Drosophila melanogaster: one gene and its partners. The protein of the gene in region 2 interacts with the protein of the main gene of each other region in a pairwise test. Each region holds a gene or a part of one and is shown on either strand. Other genes may lie near its edges. The genes, in order: CG12498, CG7742, Boot and CG5614.

Evidence for each region.
Region 1: the proteins of CG7742 (region 2) and CG12498 interact in a two-hybrid assay, tested with the Drosophila melanogaster proteins (one large-scale study listed by BioGRID).
Region 3: the proteins of CG7742 (region 2) and Boot interact in a two-hybrid assay, tested with the Drosophila melanogaster proteins (one large-scale study listed by BioGRID).
Region 4: the proteins of CG7742 (region 2) and CG5614 interact in a two-hybrid assay, tested with the Drosophila melanogaster proteins (one large-scale study listed by BioGRID).

What each region holds. Positions count from the first base shown.
Region 1 is NC_004354.4:2,807,466-2,811,630, reverse strand, and holds CG12498 (uncharacterized protein), read right to left. Parts: upstream 1,751-4,165; 5' UTR 1,665-1,750; coding exon 879-1,664; 3' UTR 785-878; downstream 1-784.
Region 2 is NT_033779.5:5,211,732-5,217,259, forward strand, and holds CG7742 (uncharacterized protein), read right to left. Parts: upstream 3,351-5,528; 5' UTR 2,856-3,350; coding exon 2,586-2,855; intron 2,430-2,585; exon of another isoform or gene 2,421-2,429; coding exon of another isoform or gene 2,355-2,420; intron 2,293-2,354; coding exon 2,106-2,292; intron 2,053-2,105; coding exon 1,959-2,052; intron 1,910-1,958; coding exon 1,657-1,909; intron 1,602-1,656; coding exon 1,132-1,601; intron 1,066-1,131; coding exon 984-1,065; intron 932-983; coding exon 758-931; 3' UTR 664-757; downstream 1-663. Other genes in the region: Cyp28d1 (cytochrome P450 28d1), read left to right, coding at 1-90, 150-419, 482-648; CG14034 (uncharacterized protein), read right to left, coding at 3,552-3,690, 3,743-3,911, 3,974-4,551, 4,604-4,706, 4,756-4,783.
Region 3 is NT_033778.4:9,091,516-9,096,756, forward strand, and holds Boot (bootlegger), read right to left. Parts: upstream 3,144-5,241; 5' UTR 3,017-3,143; coding exon 2,977-3,016; intron 2,913-2,976; coding exon 1,945-2,912; intron 1,789-1,944; coding exon 1,693-1,788; 3' UTR 991-1,692; downstream 1-990. Other genes in the region: Nadk2 (NAD kinase 2, mitochondrial), read right to left, coding at 1-138, 215-254.
Region 4 is NT_033777.3:15,777,937-15,781,934, reverse strand, and holds CG5614 (uncharacterized protein), read right to left. Parts: upstream 2,131-3,998; 5' UTR 2,026-2,130; coding exon 949-2,025; 3' UTR 843-948; downstream 1-842.

The DNA of each region.
Region 1 (4,165 bases), on a different chromosome or scaffold from region 2:
AAGAAGGACACACACACAAGTTTGTACACAGCCAAGAAATGGAAAATGTTACCCACCGAATTTGCCTCGGAATTTTTGCAATCAATTAAATATGAATTAATTGCCTTGTTGTCTTCGCTTCGTTTTGGCCAAGTTCACTTGCTAATTTTACATTTCCTAATTGCTCATCAGTCGCTTGATTGTTAGCCACGCCCCCCACCCCCAGCAGAACGCCCCCCTTTCGCGGACTCTCGCTCATTTAGCTGGTTAATTGCATTTCATTTAATTTCCGTCATTTCTTTTGCCCTATTGACGATATTTTGTTGCCATTTCGTAACGTTGCTCCAAGTTTGTTGTTCATTAGCGTGCCAAAGTTGCTCCCAAATCTGCAAAGGGGCTGGCCGCTAGGTGGCGCCACACCGGCGACAAAAGCCGTTCAAAGGGGTCGAATTTCTTGGCCACCTTGGCCATCTCAATCTCTTTGCTCTTTCACTGTTTCACTGCTAATTGCACGGCATTTAAGTGTCCCCCAATTTCCACTCCCCACGCTCCCACATTGTATCGTTTTAAAAACATTTTATTTGCAGAATTTATAGGTGCTGTAAAAGTGTAAGTTCCAAATTGCATTCAACACCCTTGAACTTAAATCATTTTTAAACTCCAAGCATAAACTTTTATTAAAGCTTGAGCGCTCATAGATCCTCCTAATTTATATAAACAAAATCCGCTGGTGTTCATTATATTTCAACCAGTTCGATGGATTACATTTTAACACATTTTAAGTCCAAAAATTCGCACAACAATTATGACTGTAATTATTTATGATAACAAGCCATTAAAAGTTCCACCAATTGCCATTATCTTTGCTAAATAAATGTTCAAAAATTAACAATTGCCTATTAATTTGGTTCAGTTTTTGGTAATAATGGAGCAGCTGCCCCCGGATCTTCCTCCTCGTCTACGGTATCCGCTTTTCCCCTCGATGGATTTTCAGTTGGCGATTGCGAAACGAACGGGAGCGAATGATTCAATTGCCAGGGATAAACAACGCCATGCCGCTCCATGATGCCGATTTTCTGCTGGGGCCTCAGGGCGAAGGAGAAGGTCCTTTGGATCAGGCTTAAAGGCTTGGCCTCCAACTGCAGTGCGTTGTACAGTTCGACCTTCTTGCGCGTCAGTATGTGGGTGGTGGGTGGACTTATGGCCTGGTTAACACAGTTATCGCGCCACAGTTCGAATTCCTCCTGGGTGAAGTTCAGGTTAGAGACATCGTTAATCTCGTGCTGCATCTCCAGGTCATCGTAGCGCAATCGCAGCGCCACATTCGTGGGTATCTGCTCCACTTTGTAGCCAAAGTCCAGTTCGCAGATGCCCAGCACCTCGGCGATTCGATGATCAGGCAACTCTCCCTGCCCACTGACATTCACGCGGACAAAGCATCCAGTGACGGCCTGCTCGAAGGCGGGTCGAACCAGAAGCAGACCGATTCGATGGCGGCTCAGACGTAGCAGCTCCAACTGATCGCGACTGGTCACCGGTAGATCCGGAGTTGGTGGCTTCTCGTAGCCATTCACCCACGACTCGTTCTCGTCGTCGATCCGCAGAGGCGAGGCGCGAAGATTCCTCAGTTCGCGGACTATTTCCGCTGCCGGACGACGAACGTGTCGGGATCGCTGGTTAGACATTTAAGTGGGCTTATGTGAGCTTCGCCAAAAAGGTTTCCTCAATCAACATTCGAACAATTTTTTAAGGGTTTCGGCTTGTTACTTGACCAAACCAAATTGTGACAACTGAATCCGTGGGGGCGACAGCAAACCCGAATAAATTTGTGCTCAACTCGAAAATGGTAGCCACATTTCAAAAACTCGAGTAAGTATAGACCGTAAAGCTGTAGAATATTTTGCAGGGCACTCATTTCGTTCTTTTTTTTTTTCTAGCTGATCCATTTGAATGCATTTAACGACCCGCCTTCGTTTTATGCCCTCCATAAATGCCAGGGGCCAAACTATTAAATTTATATTAATTTCGTAGTTTTTCCTTGGCTAGCATTTCACTTGGCACCCGCTGCTTAAGCCCACATTTTCCCCCCTTGCCGATTATATATACCTGCTGGGGTTGAAAGGAGCGAGAGTGGGTTGGATCTTTTCCCATTTGGCAAAAGATTTATTATACAATTGCTTTAATTACAGTTGCAGCTAATTGTATGCGGACCTCCCGGGCAGATGCTACTTTTGATGCTGGCACAGAGCCCATTCAGTGGGTGGTGGATGCCTGGCTACTGGCTACTGGATATAGTGGGTAATCGGTAGTGGAAAGTGGGTAGTGTATGGTGTATGGTGGCGAGTTAATGGAAGGACGGTGGTTGCCTGATGGAAGGGTAATGCAAAATCTTTGCATGCTTTGTATGTGAGTCTGCATAAATAACTTGGTTGTATGTGTGGCACATCGAAAATGCTGCTCACGCACAAATTCTCCTCGCTCTGCTTGTCGTCCTTGCGACCCCCTCCTGACACCCCCTGCCAACCACCACCTTCAACAGCACCTCATTTTGGAGTCTCCCTCAGCCAGTTCCTTTGGATCCGCCGCCCCATCCTTCAGCATGCGCATACACTTAAGGGCAAACTCGTTTATGCAAGCTCAGTCATCATCATCATCATCATCATCATCATCATCGTCATCATCGGCATCATCGGCATCATCGGCATCCACATCCATATCCTTGTCCACCGCCACATCAGCATCGCTATTCAGGCCATCTTCTCCTCCCCTGCTCAAGTATCCAACACCTCATCTCATCTTCGATGAGCTGACCAACAGAAATTCCCTTCGATTTCAATGATGCTTTCTTTTTTTTTTTTTTTTGGCCATAAAGCGAAAGAAACACTGGCAAAAATTGGTAATTAATCGGTTATATTGGATTTATAAATAAATTATAAATTATAATAGAAAAATCAAAATTTAATGGAATCTTTTTAGCAGGCAAATGAAAATATTTCCTGCTTAAGAGATATCTACAAATTGGCGTAATTTATGGAGATGGCGCGTGGGAGACAATCCCTCGGGCGAACTTTTGAAACAAATCATGTGGCGTTGAAGTTATTAAAACGGCGTAAAACTGAACATCATGCGAATAATTTAAACACTGGATGGCTATGAGTGTGAAAAATCCTAGAAAATTCTAAACGCCATGAGACCCATCCATCATGACGGCATCAGCTGGTCCAACTGGAGGACCCAACATCAAGTCGACGAGGCTCAAGAACTTTTCCTCGAACACCTTTAGGCCGGGGGCGCGGTACAGTCACCACCGCCATGGAGGCCAGTTGGCCACTCCTTGACGTTGACAGGCTGTGCACAAAGTTTGCGCCCATGAGTAGTGTCATGGGTAGTACGTAGTACGTACGTATGTATGTATGTACCATAGGCAAAAGGCGGTGGAGAAGCTGCGAAGGAGGCCGGAACCCTCGTCCAGCTGGCTGACATGCCAAGCCCTTAACCCTTTGCAGTGCTGCCAGCAGTGCTCTTCGGTCCTCAAACCCTAATGAAGTGCAAGAATATATATATGGAAGCTAGTACGAATAACTATTAGGATCCACCATTTTTTTCCCCCTCTGCTAATTACTGCTCACCACTTAAATCAAACGTTCACTAGTTACTAGTTAGCATTTGAGCTGGACTTCTTGATTCAAGTTGCTGGAATGCAAACGCACCCACGAAATTCAAAGGCTCAAGTGCTGGCAAATTCCCGTACCATAAATGGCGGAGGACACAGGCTGGCTGCGAACGAATCTAGGATACGGATACCCGTGTCAAAAAAAAAAAAAAAAATAAAAGGAAAGACACAAGGCGGAGCGGGCGGTAAATGTGACTAGGCCAGGGGCAGTTGCCAGTTGCCGGTTGCCGGTTGCCAGTTGCGAGGTGCCAGTTGGCAGCGAGGCAGGGAAACTTGTTTGTTGCACAGAAACAAAGCGCTTCTGCTTTTCATGTAAAATGACAGAAACAAGTGTTAATGGTTTTGGGCTTAGCGGGCGGGGGGCGGCGTGGGTTAAGCTAAGTGAAGGACGACGAACGCAGAATGGACAACTGGAAAATCTGCAGTCCAAGCAGATTAGATATCATATTAAAGGTGTGGCGGAATGGAAGCTACAGTCGCGTTTCTTAAAAAGCCAACGTATTTCATATTTGT
Region 2 (5,528 bases):
AGCAGATGAAGTTGAGGGAGGAGATCGGTACCGCCGAGCTGACCTTTGAACAGATAAGTGAGCTGCCCTTCACCGAAGCCTGCATCCATGGTGAGTTTTTTGGCGAAATCTGAAGTTATTTAGTATGCGTATAATATCTATATCTGCAGAAACTTTGAGAATTTTCTCACCTGTTCTGGCTGCCCGCAAGGTGGTAACTGAGCCCTGTGAACTGACGAACAAAAACGGAGTGAGCGTGAAACTGAGACCCGGGGATGTAGTCATCATTCCTGTGAACGCCTTGCACCACGATCCCCAATACTATGAGGAACCTCAATCGTTCAAGCCCGAGCGATTCCTGAACATCAATGGCGGAGCCAAAAAGTACAGAGATCAGGGTCTATTCTTTGGGTTTGGCGATGGACCACGTATTTGCCCCGGTGGGTAACATCATTTTTGAAACAATTAAAGTTACTAAAAAAAATCTATGCATAATTTGTAGGTATGCGGTTTTCACTTACCCAAATCAAAGCTGCCCTGGTGGAAATCGTGCGAAACTTCGACATCAAGGTTAATCCCAAAACTCGCAAGGATAATGAAATTGATGATACCTACTTTATGCCAGCCTTAAAAGGCGGCGTTTGGCTGGATTTTGTTGAACGCAATTAGTTATTCAATAATGTTACGACTTTATATTAAATATAGTTTATCCAGTTGCATACATGTTATATTTCCAAACACTCTTAATACTTTAATTTTGTAACTTAAAACCACACTTTTAGTCTCGACTTAGGGCTAGTTGCACTAGGGGCAGCACCTTGATAGAGGACAAGTCTGCCAGAATCGCTTCGATGCTATCCAACGAGGCCACCTGCATGATGCTCTCCTTTCGAAAGCTAAGAATGATGATGGCGAATAGAGGAAGGATCTCCAAGCTATCAAAGCCAAGGATCTGAAAAGGAAGGGATAAGTACTGCCAATAAGAACGGAGGTGTATTTCGTACCAGATCCCAGAGGACCAGCAATTGATCGGGAGGCAAATGTCCGGAAAACGCTCGCATAAGCCATTTGAAGACCACCCGCAGGCTAAGGAAAGATATGTCGTGAAATGGGTGAAATAGCTGTCTAACGAAAAACCCAATCCCAACTCACGGCTGTATCTGAAGCTCTCGGAAATGGGACCATAACTGCGGTTCGTATGTCTGCAGCAGCTTCTCGAAGAGCAGGCACAGACTGACAATCCCTTGAGGATGCGTGTTTATGGTGGTCAAGCGATGGCAGTACCGGATATAGAAGGCCCGGAATGTATAGTATAGACTCACCGGCGAGTCATACAGATAACAAAAGGGGGCGGCAAACATGCAGATGCCGTGGAAGGGCACCACACCCGATGGAGGACCTTCGTAGGTCTTGCCCTTCACCGGAAACGTCTCGTATTCCACACATCCACCGATATCGGTGTCCCGAGAAAAGCAGAGCAGCACCTGGTAGAGCACGTCCTCGAACACAAAGTACTGGTCGTCGTTGGAGGCCGTCAACTGAATGTCCTTGAAGACCAGTTTGTCAACGATGTGATCCGTAGTCCAAACGGCATTGCGCAGCTTTTGCCAGTACTCAATATCCTTCGGGGGTATAGAGATGTATAATGAGGTTATTGATCCCAAAATCAGTAGTTACGTAGTCATGTAGCTTGCTGTCCAGCACCGAAGCCCAGAGAGCTCCCCTATAAGGTGCGGGTGTGCAGCCCTTCTTCAGAAACTGCTGGCACATGGGCGCATGCCTGGCCTCCAGAATCCTCTGGCACTGAACCGTAAGATCCGGCACTCCCAAATAGCTATCACTTCGCAGCAGATCCGCGTAGTGGGCACGCAGCTCGAAAAGATTTTTCACAGGTAGTGCAATGTGGGAGAACTCCCATTGGGGGATTTGACTAATGAGCAAAATGATTATTTACCTGACTGATTTAAACCAAAACTTACTCTGTATTTTCAGTGGTTTTGGCGGGTCCTTTTAGCGAGAGTAGCACCTCCAGTAAATCCTTTGGAGCGTAAACAGGCCTATAGTTGGCCAGATCTAGAAGTTTAACCATGGTTAATTGTTAGCTTCAATATTTACGAAATGCCTACCCATATTGTAGTTGCTCAGTTCGTTCCACTTGGCCATAAAGTCCTCGCGATCAGCACTGATCCTTGGTTGTCCATGCAATGGAACCTTCAGCTCTGTACACATGGCATTCAAACTCTTCCTAACCCTTCGATCCCAAAGCACACCAGCTCTTTTTAAATATCCAAGTGGATCACTAACGGTGGGTTTCTATTGGAAAATATAGACATAAGTAAAGAACTATTTAATTCATTTTCCCTAGCACTACATACTACTAATACCCCTAAGGCTAACTCTATAGTTGTGGCACTTCGAGATCTTCCGGTATTATGTATCATTATAATTTGTTTTATAAACGTTAAGGTATAAAATAAAATTTTGCCAATAAAGTCAAAAAGTAGAAAATGATAGGAGCAGCATGGAATACTTTTAAATACCACTCCAATTATTCTAAATTCAATTACAAGAAATTTGATAAATTGTATCTTAAAAGTTGTACCCACCGCTCCCTGTTTGTTGGCCAGGTTTTTGTCATCTGTTTTCGACAGCCGCGTGCGGACCAGGTTGTAGACAATATTCCGGATCTCCGTCTCCAGTCCGGCGCTCTTGATGGCATCCTCGAGGGTGTTGCGCATATCGTGAGTATCTACGCTGGGATTGCAGACCAGCTTCTGCAGCTCCTTGTAGATGGGCTCGTAGCTCTTAGTGTTCTTGATGGCCGCGATTACCTTTGCGGTCATATGGTGGATGCTGGCATCCTGCAGCTCCTCCATGCCGATAGCTCCTTGACCCGACCGTTCTTTCTACGTATTACTCTGCCACTGACTACCAACTAACTATTTACACCGTTTTGATACCGATTAGCCCCAAAACTTTGGGCGCTCCTAACTCCGTCGTTTGACTTTTATCGATCAAACTCCGTCGCCTGCTTTGATTTGGAGTCGATTCGATTCCGAGTCACATCCTCGGTTGTCGTCGCTTCTTGGCGACGGAATGCAAACACTTGTTTGGCTGCTAGTTTCGCGTTAGTTGTGATTTGATTCGTTCGTTTTGCCGCCCCTCGCAACCAAGAAATTCCATTATGTTTCGTTTCGAATGAAAAGCCAGAGGCGCGTGAAATTGCTTTCCATATACATTTATTTTCACGCACACCGAAACACGCTGAAACTGAAACTGAGTGGCGGCAACTTTTCCTTTTTCTTGGCATCTGTCACCTGGCCCAACGAGTTGTTGACGTGGTCGTCGGGTTGGCTCCTCCTGTTGATTGCGAAGGTGGGCCAAACTCACCTGAACATGTCAGAGTGTCGAAAGTATTTCACCTGAATATTTAGACCAGGCCGAAATATGATTTTGAAATGGCAAAAATTTTTACACGAAAATAGAGATATATAATCCTCTATGTGGTACATTATTCAATGTTTATTTATGAATTAAAAATATTCGTTTTAAGATTTGGATAGCATCCCTTACTACGTTCCAATCAATTTATCTATAATATCATCGTTCACGAAAGTTCGACCTTTTAGTTGGCGGCTTATTGAGGTAAAGTTCTCTCCCTTGGCATAAGGAGGACCATTATTGGTATCCAGAAAATACCTGCCTCTGGCTCTGCAATTAAATAGATAAAAAGAGATCTGGAAAAATAGGTGCTGGCACTTACTTCGGATCCACGTGAAAACCCATCAGCTCTATATTTTTATCAGGAATGCAAATTCCCTTTGCGAAGCTTTTAAAATTGGGACAGTAGAAGCCATAGAATCCAGAAGGTGACGAAATAGACTCGGCATAATAGTCTGCTGCTCGGTTATGGTAGCAGAAATGAGTCTCCACTAAAGTCAGAACAACGAAAATGAAAAATATAGGTAAAGCAGATGGCCTTAATATTACTAACTCTTATTAATGGGTCCGCAGTTGGGCTGTGATACACCCATGTTCAAGTAGAAGTCCACGTGACCCACTGCATCCAGTAAGCCAAGCATCGTGACATCCGTGTGCACGACGTCCACGAACTTGGCATCAGTGGGATCGAGCTTTAGAGCCGGATCCTTGACCATGTAAAATGGTTTTGCCGGATCGAGGGCTGTAATATGCTCCAGCTTGTGTTCCGGAAGAAACTGCCCAATGAAGCCTGCGACATGGGCACCTAAGCCCAAGCCAATTAGGTGCAGATCCTCAATTTTGACCAATCCGCTCTCGAGGAGTACTCGTAGCAACTGAGCAGTACAGCGAGCTACGTATTTGGCATTGTGCACCGCTTCCGTATAGCAGGGTTCATAGGCTAGTTTTGGATAATCCAAGGATATCAAATTGTAATCCTGTGTCAGGAACAGCGGACGTAGCTGGGTATTGGGACTGAAATCGCGGTGCCCGTTGAATCCATGGATCAGAACCTTGAGCGGTTTGTGGTGATAAAATTCAAAACGATTAAGTTCAAAAACTGAAAGCTTAGTTCCCTCCTGATTTTCTTTTCTGCAGATACGGATAGATAATGAAAATCATAGTATAAAACCATTAATCTTACGTGTATAGCCAAAAGGAAATGTTGGCATTGGGACAAATTTCGTTTTGCAGGGAAAAACAGTTCATATCATCTAAGCCAGCAACGAGCATAACACTCGAGAAGCCTAAAACACGATTACTTTATGACTTTATTATTAACTCAGCCTGAATTACCTATTAAGACCAAGATGTTATTCATCATTCTCTTCGATTCCGTTGAGGCCTTTACTGATTTTTTTATTTTCCGACTTTATATGCTCTAGGTTCCATAAAATCTTTTTAATTAAGTTTGTCTCGTTCAACCGAATAAGTAACCGGAAAGCTTTTCTAATTGCAAAATATGTGCATCTGTAGCGCCCAGGGAGGAGCAGTAAAATATTATAGCAGTGGAATTCTGCATAAAAGTTAAATATGATTAAATTATAAAAAGAACAGAAATAGAATTTTAAAAATCAATTTAAAAATAAATAGGAAGTCAGTAATTAATTAATTCGCGGTTGACTTCGCTCCTGGGCAGAACAATTTGCAGTGGTAATTACATCGTAAATCTAGCCTTAAATTTCATGCCACCAAAATGTCAGCGTTCGAATTAGAACTTATGCCACAAGTGTGGCCAACACTCAACTCAAGCTATTTATACAGATACACATTTTGGGCATTGAAAATTATGCAAAAACAATCGAAGTGCCACTGTGTGAGTGCACTGTGGTCGCCAGAGCAACCCAACCCAACCCAACCCAACCCCTCTTCCCATTGTGCCATTCCGTCACCTCACTGGGACATTCCAAATGTGTTTCACGTTTTGTCATAAATAATAAAACTCAAATGACCATCAAAGCCACTACTGTGCGCCTTTGCCAAAAAAAAAAATGCCGCTGCCGGAAGGTTACCCACTCATACAGAACTATCCAAATTCGAATTCGCATCCAAATCCGAACCCATGCCCA
Region 3 (5,241 bases), on a different chromosome or scaffold from region 2:
CCCGGTCACGGAGCTTTTGCTGGAGCTGATCCGGAGACAGTTCCGGGTGGCGTAGCTGCTCGAACTCATAGCGGGACAGCTTGGTGACGACCAGGGCCCGCTTTAGCTTGAAGTTGGTCGGCGTATATTTAGCGTACTCTGTTCAAAATGGCAATTGCAAGCGAAAGACCTCGTTAGTCCGATCAAATGTGGGTCCTCGTCACGGGAAATTTACTCAAACCCTCGGGAATAATCTTCCTGCCGTTTTGAAGCATCCTACGGCCGAAATCGATGTGTAACTACTAGGTTTTAATGGAAATTTCCCGGAACAGCTGATAAACAACACAGTGCAAGTGGAAAGTATTTTCCCTCTAAAACTTTTAATGAAACAATGTTATGTATTTGGTTTGTACCAATCATGTTTTTCGTAGATTTTCCTAATGGTTTGACATACTGCAGTGAGCTTTAAATACCATTATTAAAGATAAGTAAAATCAAGCTATCCAGTATGTAAAATTTGTTTGTTTATAATCAATATAATTATAGCATAACAAAGTTTAGTGACACACACTTTGAGATCTGCGTTCAATACTTGTTGAAAAGTTGGTTAAGTTAAGTTAATCCGGAAACCAAAAAGGATATTTAAGATAATATCCACTTTCTGAGCGAATAATTTTGTCAGCCAGTGTGCGTGGGGAAAGTTCATCGTGACAAAGAATTTGGCGAAAAAGTGTTTACTGATAATCTTCGGCTTGGTCGGCGTCAGATGCGATTAAGGCTGTCAAGGCGAGCCTACGGATCTGGTGATATGGTATTAGTTTACTCCAGCACATGCCTAAGGCTGATAATGGAGGCGGCAACGAAAACACAGATAGCTAGGGTGTGTAAAACACCTCAAGTTGTGCCATTTCGGCTCCGGAAACCCACACATCCTTACCTTTGGAAAACTGTTGGAGCAACTGCTTCGACTTCAACATGCTTGGCACTACCGAAGACGAACAACGCACATTTAGGGTACTGTGTTCAGTTTATTTCGTATTCGTTAAGAAAATCGTTTGGGAAAAAGACTACGCTATAAAAGTAACCAAATGCAAAGAATCGATGGCTCTTTCTTCAGTTGGCCACTTTCGAATGCTTTTGCACAAACAACAAAATAACTGCGTGTTCGTTCTACACTCGACAAAGCACAAAACATAGGTTGAGGTTAGTGTTTAGCACACTATCCTAAGTTACGATCACTACTAACTATCCCGCTATCCGATCCCGATGATCATTTTCACGTCCGCTCTCTGGGTGCTTGGCAGATTAACTGATTATTACTCTGTTCGTCTCCGGCACATCAGTTATGTATGTATATAAAATCGCCTTCGCTGTAAATTTATCGCCGTTTGTTTCTATTTTCGTCCGCTTTCGCTTCTCACATCTCGTTCGTCCGTGTGTACTTCTTGTTGTGCATTACTGATAAGAGGCCCAGCCTGTTCTTATCAGCCGAAATATGTGTTATATATATAAAAAAAAGAGGCAGAAAGCGACTATTCACCCCTGCCATTCACTGGGCATCGTCGAAATCGTCTTCTTCTTGCCTGCGTCGACTCGCAATTCGCACAGAAAGTGCCCGCCAATCCGGCGAACTTAATTTAAACATGGGCTGCTGAGTACTTAGAAATAACAGAAGTCAGATAGATCCCTTAAATGCAACTTGATGTCGGTTTTCTAGTTAAAACGTTGCAGTTGGTCCCTTCCTCCTTCACGTTCAGGCAATGCGACACTTCGGGACTCCTCCATCGGTCCGTTTATCCAGTCGATGTTCTTAAATAAGAAAACCGTAAACTTATTTAAAAATACAAAGTTAATATGAATCATTTCTTGAAGCTTAATGCCTTTTTTCTTACACGTGCAGTTTGTAAGGCTTTCTTTCAAATCTCTATTGTGTGGTATTAGATTACACATGATTTCGAATATTACCTTGAAGATGTCACACGAGTCTCCTTGGTTGTTTTGCTGGGCAACGCTCTTGAGCAAGAGCATCACGTTGTGGGCCATTTTACTGATTTTCATGCTCTCGGAATCAACTGCTGCGGGTTTCAGGTCAGTCTGCGGCTTATTAATATCCTGCGCTTCTCCAGCAAACACATTCATCGAGTTGTCCGTGTAACGCGTGATGGTTTCACAAGGCAAATGGTTCTTGACACGATTATCCGGAATGTGGGACACCGAATCGATTAAAGAGCCGATCGAGGTGGAGCCGGTCCAGTCGTAGTGGTCAGGTCCCATGTAGTTGCGGCTGCTACGCGGATCAGTGGGTGCCTGGTGAGTATACTGGAAATGTTTATTTACATCAATGTCAAGGTCAGTTTGTTGATTTGAATGGATTTCTTGACTGCTGAAGGCATTGTAGGCGTAGCGCAGGACCTCCTTCTTGGCAATCTGGGGCTGGTGCTGATGACGATGGAATTCATTCCGTTCATGGTGATTATACTGACGATTGCGTCTCTTGTTAAAATTATTACGAAATCGAGAGCCTTCTCTCAGATCAAGGCGCGACTTAACGTGACCACGTGCCTGGTCACTGAGCCCCAGTTGAGCCGCCGCTGATGGCCGGTTGACGTTGTTACCATTCATGCGCCACGTGGCTGAGCCTTGTGAGGCCTCCGAGCTTTGAGACTCCGTCTCGCAGTACACCTTATCAAAGTCATTAATCTCAAAGTTGATTTGCGAAACATTGGAATCGAACTCGGTTAGAATTGATTGGCCATTTGCTAGCACGGAACCCTGGAAATCTTCAACTTCAACATCGGTATCGCCACCCTGATCCTGGTCCTTGTAGGTTTGCAAGTGCCCCAGCTGGCGATTATCGCCCTTGGGGGCTGCATTACTCGAGTATCGTGGTGGTATTCTGGGTTTTGGTACTACGCATTGCTCGAAGTACTCATCTGTCAGATAAAAAAAACGAATATTTTAAGGACGATCACAAATTGAGCAGACATTTTTACGTACCCAAAGACAGAATGACTCCGGATGCATTGAAATCCGTCATCGTGCACTCGCAATTAAGCCTAAAATATAGAAACAAAAAAAGCTTGGCGCCGCGTCAGTCTGGTCCGCAAGAAAAACAGTTAGAACCACCGCGTTTGTAGAGCTGCAAGTGCTGCAATCGAATATTACCACCCGGATAAATCGAAGTAAAACTTCTTTGCACTGGTCAGCTTTTGAGTTTTTACACCCGTTACTCGTAGTGTAAAATAGTATACAAAAGCATATTCTTGATCAGGATCAATAGCCAAGTCGAGCACCTTTGCCACACCCCTCCTTATAATTACAAAACGCTCAAAACACACTTATGAACAATTTTTAATTTTTTCTCATTTTATTTAGCAGTATCTATCATGATAAATTTTCGTGTTCGCATATCCACTAGCTGAGTAAGAGTATTTTCTAGTCGGGTAGTATTTGTCTAAGATCTATTCATTTTATTTAAAGTTTATTAAACATAAAATATTATTAGTGTTTTATTTGTGTGAATTCTTTTTCTTTGTTTATTTTCTTCTTTATTAAATTAAATCAAGTATTGACTTAAGTTTAATATGGGGCAATAACTTGTATGTATTTACTTAAATCGTTCAATGCGAACTTGTTTTGGTAAATCAGTTTTTCATAACAGTGCGCCACCTTGAAAACAGACCACAAACGCAGGCGTTAGGCGTTTCAGTATTCTTGAAAGTACAAGCAGCGTGCACACTGCACCACCAATCGCCGCCAACTTCACTGGCTTCTCTTCACTTTTTTAAAGAACGTGGAGCGAACATCACCGCATTGGAAACGATTAAAAAAATATATATAAAAATGTAAGTATTATAGATATGATAGGCGACCGGTGAGTGCAGCGATTATAACTGCAAATCGAGTTCTACTGGCTTGTTTGCAGAACTCAATGTTGCAAGATTAATTTGTGATGCGCAGGGAAATGCACTTCACCGATTGCAATTCAAATTGCAGTCACGTGGTCGAGATTCCATTGCAGTCTCAACAAATTAAAAATTAAAAAAGAACGTTAGCTAAACGATGCGTTTGCTTATATTGCAGGTGAATCTGTGATTACTAGGCGCTGCGTTAAAGCGCTGGCATTTGTGAATTGGTAAGTTTCATCATTGTATTTATTTATATTTTTGTTAAATAATATTAATATTTTCATGCGAGCATGAGTCGCTGGTGTAAAGAAACTACTACTTTAGCTAGTGCTTTTTACTTGCTCGCAGAAAAACGTGCTTTGCCCAAGCATAACCCAAATTTAAAAAACCCGAGTTTGCGGTGCATATTATTTTCGTGAAGCTGACAGTTTAAACCCTCTTAACTAGCTAAGTTTAGTATTTGCGAATATGGCTAACCCAGCATTCCATTTTCAGAAACAAAATGGCCTCTTATGCTCAACACGTGTTTTCTGGCAGAGTTGGAGAGAGACAGACGGTAAGAATTCGTTCCAAATCCCAAATTAGCCCTTCTCAGTTATCTGATGATTTATAATTCTATTTTCTGACATCTCTTATGAACCGTTGTGATTCAAATCAGTTATAACTAATTCTGACACATTCGACTCTCAACTAAATATAATTTTTACTTGTGGCCGTGACTTATGAGAACTCATCTATTACTTGCAGATCGGTCTTTCGATTTGGATTCGGAATATAAATGAGGTTATCAGCGTGAAATGGTAATTATTCTCTTCATTTATGAAAACTACTTAAAATTTCGTGATGAATGACCCTATCATCATCTTTCGACTGAAAATCATTTTGATGCTATACTAGTTTTCACTGAATTTTAAACGCTTTAAAAAAACCTGTTAAAAAGATTGTTACATTTGAATAACACAAATATATTTTAATTTCAGTTCATTGCAACGTCAATATCATGTATCAAACGTGGCTCACTAACACAGTGAAAAAGGTAATAATTCGGTTTAAGATAATAAAAAAATTTAGTTTAAATTTTATGTGTAAATTGGACAATTAATTGTGTTGTGATGAATGAAACTTACACCATCTTTCGACTGAAAAATGTTATGAAGCTATACGAGTTTTTACTGAAACCCCTTCATTTTATTATTTTTGTGTTTTATAAGTTTTTTAGAAAATCGGTTGCTGCTCTTTATAACCATTTAATTTTTGTCATTTTGCAGTGTTCAAGAAAACCACCTTTGATTGTCGCGTCATATGCCCAAACAAGGATCTCTCCTTTGAAAAGGTAAATTATACTCTAGAACGA
Region 4 (3,998 bases), on a different chromosome or scaffold from region 2:
CGTTTACTGGGTGCTTGTATGTAAGTGCCTGCCGTTTGGTTTGGATAGAGTAGAGCAAACTAAAGGATGTGATTGCAATCATTGGTATTAGTATTATTACGAGCAAGTTTTCTTACCATAAAATGAAAGGAATTTAAGCAACTAGATTATTTGTAAAAGTGAATAGATTGTTCATTCCAAATACTTACCTCTTTGTTTTGAAAACCCCACCTGAACAATATCTGTTTTCGCCATTCATCTTTTCGGGTTTCATCCATCTGCATAAAATCAATCAATCGCACACCGGATTGCTTAAGAGGGTCAGAGACCTCCGACGACATTCCCGATAGGCCTAATTAATTGATTGAGGATGTTGTCGGCCGGCTTTGGTTTCGGCCACCACCGTGTTCGCTTTGTTGTCGGGGTCACAGTTGCAACTGTCATAATATTGACTCATTGCCGTTGTAATTAATGGTGTTAAGACTCGCACGCCATTTTAATGCAATCGAATTGACAGGCGGCATCCGATTCGCGATTACTGCACCTCATGCCACCACCCCCTTTCCATCGGGGGTGGCCATCGTCTGGGGGATATTGATTTCAATTATAATGATGTAACACAATGGTCGCCGGTCCCCCATTGACTGCCATTTTGGTCATTCCTTACCCTTAGCCCCGTTGACCCGGAGGCGAGTTAACTAATTGTTAACCTCGTGGTTTGTGTTTCGAATATTAAATAGAAAACCAGCAGTAAACTCCAGCAGTAATTAATTGAAAGGCAAGGCAGTAAATATCTAAATATTTCGCAAGTAAGAGATGCGCATTAAGAATCCTTAATATCCTTAAAAATTAAAAAAAATGCTCCAATCAAAATGTATTGTTTATTAGTGTAGCTGCAAGAAATTTCCAAGACAACTGTCATACACAAATTGACTTTCTAATTTAAAAATAAGGAACTTCTGGCATTGATCAATCTTCATCCGAGCTGTAATCGCTGTCTAAATTGACTTTTCTTATGTGGGTATCACATTCTTCCTCCGGTTTTAAGGTATTTTTGTTCCGTAGTTGCACTCCTCGCGGGGAATTCCAATAGTCCTGCCTTGAAACTTTATTTATTCCACTGATCGAAGGCTTATCATCAGAGTCGGAACTTTCAGTTTCTGGCTTCCTTGAAAAATGTTGCTTCCTCGATGTGCTCGGAATATTGTCGCGTTCATTTGCCTGATTTTGTTTACCCTCAAAAGGACCTTCTTCTCCATAATTTGGGGCATATTTTCCCTCTGGCGGCAAGTCATCGATAAATATCTGTCTATCGGGTATGTCCTTATATGCGTCACTGTCCTCCGATTCTTCTTCGCTGTAATCCGATTCCAGGACATCGGATTCAGAACTATCTACGTATGACTTCGGATTCTCGTTCTTGATCGAACGAGGTGGAGTACTAATGCTCTTGGGTGTGAGACCTTTCGTGAACGTATTATTAGTGATGAGTTTTCGATTGTTTTGAACTAGTCTGCCTTGGTTAACTTCTGATTTTTGTGCTCTCATAACTTTTAGTTCCTGTACCAATTTTCGACTCCTTTGCACAGTGGCCTCCATAGGATCCGGTAGCTGAACCAACTTTTTGGAACCTCCTTTTTGCACACCGAACTTCCAATCGCGCATAACTAGTTGAGCCAGGAGCGGAAAATCCTTTGACTCGGGTGTGATGTGTAGACTTTGTTCCATCTCCCTGCGATTGGCCACGTTTTCACCCGTCTCCATGCGAAATGTTTCCATGGTGTGCTTGTAGCCGAACCAATCGAGGAACTCCATAATCATCTGGTTGATCAGCTTGACCAGGCTGTGATCCTCCGATTGATTGGATCCACCAGTTAGTGCTTGGACTTTGGACTTATTCTGCTGGCCACGTATCATCTGGAGGATCTTCACGTGCATTTCGCTCCGTAGTGCCGCCATGGTTCCATTTTTCTCCAACTGACTTTTGATATTCTGTTCTATCATCTTCTGGTAGGCATTCTCCAGGTTAATCTTATGCGAACTCATGGTTGTGAATTTTGTACTAAACTAATTTAAGTTAACAAAACATACACTTTATAAATTTTATATCTACACTGATGACCTCAACAATTTATGTACGTTCAATTTGAATACGAGTTTAGTTGTGGGCATATGCTAGAAATTTCAGCTTAGCCTTTTTTCACACAGCCTCCTTAATGATTGAGATCATTCGAATTTTATTGGCCACTCTCCATGTTTTCTACTAATGTCTGGAAAGTTTATTTCACTTGCCAAATCAGTCCAACTCGTTAATCATTCAGATAACCTTGAAGTTTGGTCAGTCTGCGCATATATTAGCCATTAGTTGAAGTTGTTGAACCTAAGTTTTGGCTGAGAATTTTATTCAATCGGTGTAAGGAAACCTGTAGACAAGATATTTTACTTTTTTATAAACAAAAAAAAAAAAAACACTTAATAAATATCAAAATTCTTTTTGTTGTGGAATAATATATTGGTAATCTCCTTTGTAAAACCCATTGCTCTTTTAAGTTCTAGGGCGATAATCACACAAATTAATACGTTTATAAGAGTTTATAAAAAAGCTAACGAGAATGGTAGAAAAAAATATACACAAAACTTTATCAGGATCAACTTCTGGTTGCTTTTTTGGCTGGTGAGTTTTTCTTTTCATTTATGTGTAGGTGCTGCAAAAGTTCGCTCGGCGATTGAGCCAAAGAAATATTTAATAACTATTTTCTTGCCATTTTTTCCCAGGCTTGTTGGAAAAAGTTATCTTTGCATTTGCTTTTAATTTTTGTAATGGAATTGTTAAGAGCGAATGGCCGGGCAGGGGTAGCAGCTGATTTATAGCCAGCCAAAAGTTTTTTGAGCACAAAAATTCATCGGTGAAAAATGCCAGCCGCATTAGCCTTAAAGTTTTCCACTCAGCCCTCGCTTAAATATTTGCTCGACTAATTAGCAAAAGTGTTGGCAAGGCAGCAAAAAATCCTGGCGAAATTTGGTAGATAAACATATCTATATATTAAGCTCAATGCTGCGCCATTTCCGGTTTATCTTGCTACCAATTTTTATTGGTGTAGCAAAGCAAAGCCAATTAGCCAAAATGGCTGCGACACATTTCCGCTGGTTTGCTGAGCCTCGAACCCGTTAAGTGGCATCGGGGTCAACTTAGCCTGACCTGAACTGACCTCGAATGAGAAGAGTACGAACTACTAGAGGGTTTTTCCAAAGAAATGTTTTGCCTATGAAATATATCCTTACTCTAAGGCTGAATGCATTTCAGTACTTCAAAGCAGTTGAGATCCAAATTAATCTAAATATACAAATCGTTATTTTAATCGATAATCAAATTGCATTTAAATTCAAAATTTAGTTGAATTTTTCTCAGCTATAATATTCCTTTAATATATATTTTTTATTTAATATATGTGCTATATGCCTCTAAATTCAGTTTACACTTTTAAGATGTTTTTAAGCTATCTGTTTTAATAGTGAATGGAAAGGGTATTTCTTATTTTGCCGGAATGGCTTCCTTTTTGGCTATTATCATTGCCGTATTGTTGTTATTTCAGTGACACTTTCGCATTTTGCTAATCGCATTAATTATGCTTTTCCCCCATTTGCTGCTGGGCCTCTGGTCCTGTTTCTGTTTCCATTCCAGGGCCAGAATCCTGGATCCTTTGGCCTGCAGGCGAAATGGCCAGCAAATTGAACAAAAGCAAACTGCAGGCAAAGAAAGCGGTGTGTATAGGGGCTTTAGGGGGTTAATGGAGGAGTGCCTCCTCCTTTCAGGCATAATTGCCTCTCAAGGGAATTAAATTGAGCCGAGAATTTCGTTGGCAGCGCGTCAGAGGCAACAAAAGATGAAGACGGGATTTTATTTCATTAATTATCAATTAGTTTTTGAAAGTTGCTGCGCCTGATTTATTAAGTGGACAGCGGCTGGCACTGGCATAACTTTTGAAATGCCTGTCTCAATTTTCTTGATAAAATTGCTC